2 linked regions of the Sus scrofa genome follow. The protein of the gene in region 1 binds, or shares a complex with, the protein of each later gene. Links are inferred from orthologs where the notes say so. Each region holds a gene or a part of one and is shown in the gene's direction. Other genes may lie near its edges.

Region 1 (3,821 bases):
CACAGTTACCTGCCCGTCAGGTGTCTCGGCATCTTTGCCGTCGATACAGATTCCACATACGATGCTTCTTGCTTGTGCTTCTGTCCTCCTGACCTTGCCTTTCCACAGTCCTGGCTTCCCTGCATCCTTCTGCTTCTCTTGGCTGAGTCACCAGGTGACTGATGTCCCAGGCAGTCCCCCTACGCCGGGCGCCCTGGCTGGGCGCTCCTGGGGACAGTGGCGCCCAGGTCTTGTGTTTTACCTCCCCGCCCGCTCCCTGAAGCTGTCTCCTAGAGGCTTCGTGTCTTCACTTTAGTGCTGGTATACCAGTTAAAGTTTCCTGGGTTGAAGCGTAAGAAATACAGATATAAAAGTACGTGTGGTTGAGAAGAAGAATAATTAGTTGTGTTGAAACATTTTTTGAATTTTTAACTCTTGGTATGTTCGCTTTTCAGGCAAACCTGAGTAAGTCTCTTAGGGACACGGCGGTCAGACTTGCGGAGTTGGGGTGGTTACACAATAAGATCAGAAAGTACACGGACCAGAGGAGTCTGGACCGGTCCTTTGGACTCGTAGGTCAGGTATGTGGTTTGTTGCTGGGGCACCCGGGGCGCCTTCGCTGGGGGAAATGCTTGTTCTGCTCAGTGTTAGGGTGAAGGTAGCTCTGAAGGGGGAATCTTTCCATGGAGAGAAGTTTGGATGATAGACTTGCGTCAGTCGCGGTCCACCCGAGAGAACAGAAAGCACAGTATGCACCGACAGGCGGAGTCAAATATAGCCGCTCAAGGACTGCTTAATGAGCTCTCAGGGACAGTGACCATGGATGAGTCACCTGACATGTTTTTTGTTTGTTTGTTTGTTTTTTGCCTTTTTGCTATTTCTTGGGCTGCTCCCGCGGCATATGGAGGTTCCCAGGCTAGGGGTGGAATCGGAGCTGTAGTCGCTGGCCTACACCAGAGCCACAGCCACGTGGGATCCGAGCTGCGTCTGCAACCTACACCACAGCTCATGACAACGCCGGATCCTTAACCCACTGAGCAAGGGCGGGGACCGAACCTGCAACCTCATGGGTCCTAGTCGGATTTGTTAACCACTGCGCCACGACGGGAACTCCACTTGACATGTTTTTATGTATTTTCCCTTTGACCTGATTCTTTTAAATATTTTTTTAAACACGGATGTAGAGTCGATTTATAATAGTGTGTTTCTTGTGTATAGTGACATATGCAAGAGTGTGTTTTGTTTACACACATGTGTGTATGTGTCTATATTCTTTTTCTCCTTTCCATTATAGCTTCTTGCAAGCGTTCCCTGAGCTGTACAGTAAATCCCTGTTTATCTGTTTTATACATGGCAGCGTGCACCTGTTAACCCCAACCCCTCGTTTCTCCCTCCCCGCATTTCCTCTTTGGTGACCGTGTTTGTTTTCTGTCACAAGTCTGCTTCTGTTTTGTAAAGAAGTTCATTTGTACTTTTTCAGAGTCCACATGTAGGTGATATTCTGAGATACGTGTCTTTCTCTGACCTCCCTTAATGCAATAACCTCTAAGTCCATCCGTGTTGCTGCAGAAGACCTTATTCCATTCCTTTCTGCGGCCGAGTAGTGTCCAGAGCGTCCGTGTGTTTATGCACATCTGGAGCCGATCCTCTGTCTGTGGGCATGTAGGTTGCTTCCGTGTCTCTCCCTTCCAAATTTTTAGTGTGAAAGTGTCATTTTCTTTAATGCTCTTCGCTAGCAGTATTTTATTTCAGTTTTATTTTTAATGATTTTTATTTTTCCCGTGATAGCTGGTTTACATGTTCTGTCAATTTTCTGCTATAAGCAAAGTGACCCAGTCACACATACACATATACATTCTTTTTCTCACCTTATCTTCCATCCTGCTCCGTTGTAAGGGACTCGTTATAGTTCCCAGTTCTATACAGCAGGTTTTTTATTTTAAATTGTTTTATTTTTTTATGTTTTTGTCTTCTTAGGGCCACACCTGTGGCATATGGAAGTTCCCAGGCTGGGGGTCGATTCGGAGCTACAGCTGATGGCCTCTGCCTCAGCTCACAGCAATGCCAGATCCTTAACCCACGGAGGGAGGCCAGGGATCAAACCTGTGTCCTCATGATTACTAGTCAGATGTGTTTCTGATGAGCCACGATGGGAACTCCCTCTAGCAATATTTTAAAACCGATAACTATCAATTCCTTCTATTATTGTTATTATTGTTGTTGTTATTGTTCAGTGTGTACCGTCCAGAGTTTATTGAAAACTGCCTTGTACGTTTCCATTCTTAAATTCCGAGGTCTCACATCAAGAGCTGTAGGAAGGAGCTTCACACTCTGGTGACCGGAATTTTCTGGAGTGAACTCCGGGTGTAAGCCGGGACAGAGACATTCAGGGGGAAGCTTTGGTTTCCACGAAAGCCCGTGACAGGCAGAACCTGCAGAGGATAAAACCTGTTCCCTGCAGACAGAAAACAAATTTACGGTTGCCACACGAGGGGGGAGTTAGATTAGGATTTGGGGATTAATAGAGTCACATGACTGTACATAAAACAGGTAAACAACAAGGACCTCCTGTGCAGCACAGGGAACTGGGGCCCAGCATCTCCTAATAACCTATCACGCCAAAGAATCCAAAAGAATAAGCCGCAGTGCATGCGTGTATGTGCAGAAGCAAATCGCTGTGCTGCCCGCGGGGAACTGACCCGCCCAGTGCTGCGGGTCGCCTCGACTTGATTTACAAGGATGCGGCCCCGCAGCCCTCGCTGAAGGCAACGCGCCTTCGCTGTGTGGAACCCGATTCCTCCTCGCCCCGCCCTCCCTCCGGACGGCGGCGTGGTGGTGGCCCCGCCCGAAGACCGAGGCCAGAAGCGGAGTCCAATCCCGAGGGACCCGCGACCTCGGGCTCGTGGCGCGCCCCGCGCGGCTCCCGTGCGTTGCTGCGAGCGTGCAGGGTGCGGGACTCGGGTCCGGCCTTCACGCGCCTCCTCCCCCCTCCCCCGCAGAGCTTCTGCGCGGCGCTGCACCAGGAGCTCAGGGAGTACTACCGCCTGCTCTCCGTCCTGCACTCCCAGGTGAGCACCCGCCGGCGTGGAGCTGCCCAGCGCCCCCCGCGCTGCGCGAGCGGATGCTTCCGCCCTCGCTTTTAGGGAGCAGGACCCGGCGATACGTGCAAGGACGGGCCGCGAGGGTCCCGGGTGGCCTGGCGCCAGCAGGTCACCTGCGGCCTGAGCTGTCATCTCGGAGGGCATGTCTGTTGCGTTTTTATGGGAATAATCCCTTCCCCGGGTCTGCACGGAGTGAGGGGGTAACGTATGTGGTGACCTGCGCTTACTCGTTCTCTCTCCTGATTTTCAGCTGCAGTTAGAGGACGACCAGGGGGTGAATTTGGGCCTCGAGAGCAGCCTGACGCTGCGGCGCCTCCTGGTTTGGACGTATGACCCCAAGATGAGGCTGAAGACCTTAGCAGCCCTGGTGGACCACTGCCAAGGTCCTTCTGCCTTACTTCACAGCGGGTTTTAGGGGGTAGCCCGCTCTTTTGTATGCTTAACAGCCAGAAGTGTGCCGATTAAATGCAAATGAGTAGACGTGACCTTGCGGGGAAAATGCCTGTTGCCGGCAGGGCCCAGCGTTCACGCCTGTGGAGGCTCAGGATCTCCTGAGCTGAGGGAGGAGGGCGGGGGGTAGTTTTGGGCCTCGTTAGGGCTGTTGGTTTGTGTTCCTTTGTCTCATCTCAATGAGCAGCCTTTCCTGGGGTTTCGCTCCTCCGGAGTGCGGTCCACGTGGGGCACCAGCTGTGCGACAGCCTCCCGTCTTTGCCCGTGGGTTGGGCCTCTTCTGGTCTTTTT
Region 2 (3,821 bases), on another chromosome or scaffold:
CAAAAGCTCTGTTGGCTTCTCTGCCTTTTGGAAGCCTTCCTCTACCAGCTTCTTGAGCTTCTCAGTCTCTCATTCAGCTTGAGTCTCATGTAAAAGCAACGTGACGAATGCCATGCTAACCTCAGTGAGATCTAGTCTTTCTTAATCTAGATCATCAAATCTGGCTGCTTCAAATGCTCTCCAAGGTCATCAAACAGATTTTTAAAAATATCTCACTTCTCTAGTTGTTCTTGGATAGTAGCATTGATTTGCTATAAGCTACATTGTCAACTAGAATAGTAATTCCTCAGTTTATCATCTTTATATTATTTTCTGGATAACCAATCATGAGAAATTCTTCTGTCTGCCTCAGAATTAAAGGGTGATTGGCAGATTTTATGGTTAAGCTGCCTGGAAAACTGGAAGTGCCAGATTTCATTGGTTTTTCATTTGCTTCACTCTCTTTGCCCTTTTATTATTATTATTTTTGTCTTTTGTCTTTTTTAAGACCTCACCCGCGGCATATGGAAGTTCCCAGGCTAGGGATTTAATTGGAGCTGTTGTCACTGGCCTACACCAGAGCCACAGCAATGCCAGATCCTTAACCCACTGAGCAAGGCCAAGGATCGAACCTGCAACCTCATGGTTCCTGGTCGGATTTGTTTCCACTGTGCCACCATGGGAGCTCCTTTTACCTTCGCTTAGATGTCTCACCATTTCATCCATCTCATATATTATTTATTTTAGTGAAGGCAATATTTCAATGATATTTTTGAGCAAATTCCATAAAAAAGAGCAAAATAGTGCCATCTGCAGCAACATGGATAGAACTAGAGACTCTCATACTAAGTAAGTCAGAAAGACAAATACCACATATCACTTATATCTGGAATCTAATATATGGCACAAATGAATCTTTCCATAGAAGAGAAACAAACTCATGGACATAGAATACAGACTTGTGATTGCCAAGGGGAAGGGGGAGGGAGTGGGATGGACTGGGAGTTTGGGGTTAGTAGATGCAAACTATTATATTTAGAATGGATAAGTGATGGGTTCCTGCACAGGGAACTATATCTAGTCACTTGTGATGGGACATGATGGAGAATAATGTGAGAAACATTAAAAAAATTTTAATATAGATAGTAAAATTTTAATGAACTACTAATATTTAAATTTATTAAAAGGGGAGTACAATACTAAAATGCACAGTGAAACCTACATTTTGAAAACCTGTATTGAAAGAATAAAAATAAAAAAACTGTATTTATAAGGATCAATGAAAATAGTAAATGAAGAAAGGCTTGTCATAGTATATCTCATTTTTATTTTCTCTTGACTAATAAGCATTGTTTAAATGTGTCATTTTGGAAATTCCCAAACCAGTTATAATTAAAAAAACCCAAAAAACATTATATATAAAAAAAAGTGAAAAAATGTTTCTTTTTGGATGATTATGAGAAAAAAATAAAAGAGTGTCTTAAAAACTACCTACATTGTAGCTGATGAGTATATATCATAAATATAACTAGATATACTACTATTAGAATTTGTAAGTGTATTATTAACATGAAAGGAATCCATTCATATACCCTAACCAGAGAATCGAATTCTAAATCCAGAATTAGCAACAAAACACTTAGATTTTCTTCCTGTGTCTTCATTTGCTTATCTTGATGAGGGATCTTTGAGGGCTAAGATATTATTAATAACATAGGATGGGAAATCCTTCACTAGACGAGGGAAGAGGGCCAATCTTTGACTTATGTTTTCATTGTATGTACCTCACATATCTTCAGCTAGAGGTAGCAAAATGACCAAAGGTCCTCAGCTACTGTGCTCTGAAATCTACTGCTGCTTTTCTACCTAGCACATGCTCCCCCAGGGCTCACTCGGTGACTGAGAGGAGCAGAGTTACTAAAGCAGGCTTCTCCTCTGTGGAGTCAAGGAACTATCTGAGGGCTCTTGGCTTGAGCACTCCCCGATGGTCTTACTGAACCTTCCTTGGACTGTCTAGCAATCCAGGAGGATTTCACCCAGCCTTCCTTCTCTCTCTCCTTCCCTCAAGGTCAGATTCGTATGGTGGTCTGCCAGCTTCCCCTGGATCCCTCCCTATTTTCCCTTGCAGCAACTTTCCATACAGAATTTCTTTTACAGGAATAAAATTCTTGCATGTTTAATCCCATCTTGGCATCTTGTCTGCTTCTTGGAGGATCTAGACTAGCACATTCTCCCTCTATTTCTGTAAAAGATACTATCATGTGAAATTACTAAGGAGAGAAAAGATACTTACTATAATTGAATGACAACAATATTCTAATACGACTGGATTCTTAAAGTTAGGTCAGTTAACACTTCATGTAATTTAGGGGTAGCCTCTCAGAAATTTTTTTTTCCCATGCTAGTTTATTGATCATCTGCCTATGTGTAAACTTGCTTTCAGAAGGACTGAACTATCACAGTAGTCAGATCAGGAGTTGATGTTCTAAAAAACTGTCATTTTACTCAGGATGGTTGGATGGCCATGAAGTATTAAGCAGCTCATATGTCATCTTTGAGATATCTAAGGATATTTAAAAAGAAATTAGAAGGAATATTTCTGAGTGTTTTGATAGCTGGTAATATTGTTGAAATTCTATTCAGTATGACAAGAATTATTCAATATAATAAGTAGTAACAGATTTGTTGCAAATATTTACTGATTCTTTAAATTTGTATGACTTTGAGTCCTTATATTTTATATGTTCATGTTAAAATTCTTCTCTTTGCAGAATCACAGTGAAAGATTCGTTTTCATTGCAGAGTGGTATGATCCAAATGCTTCACTATTTCGACGTTATGAGCTTTTATTTTACCCAGGGGATGGATCTGTTGAAATGGTAAATGAACCTTTCTTCACTTAAAAGCGGGTAACAGGATGAAGGTGGGCTAGGGAGAGGAAAAGGATTGCCTTTTTTGTAGTTACTTTTAAAAATACATCCTTTTTATTTTGATATTGTAATTCCAATATAAGAAGATACTTTTGTACCTTTATTTTTAATAGAAATTATTATTTTTCTTTTTCTTTTTTTTTTTTTAGGGCCACACCCATGGCATATGGAGGTTTCCAGGCTAGGGGTCCAATCAGAGCTACAGCTGCCGGCCTACACCACAGCCTCAGCAACATGGGATCCGAGTCGCCTCTGCGACCTATGCCACAGCTCACAGCAAGGCCAGATCCTTAACCCGCTGAGCGAAGCCAGTGATCAAACCGGCAACCTCATGGTTATTAGTCGGATTCGTTTCTGCTGCACCACATTGGGAACTCTGAAGTTATTTTTTTAGTTAGAAAACTGAAGTGGGATTATTCATGTTTTGGACTAAGCAATAATCAGCAAGTGGCTATAGACAAAGATGATCATGATCATAAATATGTTACCGTTGTTGAGTGCTGTTCATTACTGTTATCTCTACGAAAAGCCAAATAGAAGAAGATTGAACTCAAAGAGTCCCACTTTATGTCCCTTCATTGACAACCCCTTTTGCAGGTGGATCTGTTTGGTAATTTGGATCTTGTATGGGCAAGAAAGGAGAAATTTGGAATTCTTCAGATTTCATAGCTACCAATTTGTGGCAATGGTTTGGCAATACATAAATCGTTCTATTCAAGGTTTTTAAAAGTATTAAATGTGTACTTTTTATGTTATTACTGGATTAGACTAGGAAATGGATAAATTTGTTTTCCTTTTGGCCATGGCATGCAGGTACTTGATGTGGGATCTCCTTTCCCAGACCAGGGATTGAACCTAGGCCACAGAGGTAAAAGTGCTGAGTCCTGACTAGGCCACCAGGGAACTCCCATA

The links.
Region 2: TUBGCP3 (region 1) and NME7 share a complex: the UniProt entries of both Homo sapiens proteins name them as parts of the gamma-tubulin ring complex. The link is inferred for Sus scrofa from reciprocal best matches to the Homo sapiens genes TUBGCP3 and NME7.

Annotation. Positions count from the first base shown.
Region 1 is NC_010453.5:78,215,036-78,218,856, reverse strand, and holds part of TUBGCP3 (gamma-tubulin complex component 3), read left to right. Parts: intron 1-434; coding exon 435-560; intron 561-2,978; coding exon 2,979-3,047; intron 3,048-3,330; coding exon 3,331-3,463; intron 3,464-3,821. UniProt on the Homo sapiens protein: Component of the gamma-tubulin ring complex (gTuRC) which mediates microtubule nucleation.
Region 2 is NC_010446.5:81,691,870-81,695,690, forward strand, and holds part of NME7 (nucleoside diphosphate kinase 7), read left to right. Parts: intron 1-2,750; coding exon 2,751-2,858; intron 2,859-3,821. UniProt on the Homo sapiens protein: Possesses an intrinsic kinase activity. Displays 3'-5' exonuclease activity with a preference for single-stranded DNA. Does not seem to have nucleoside diphosphate kinase activity.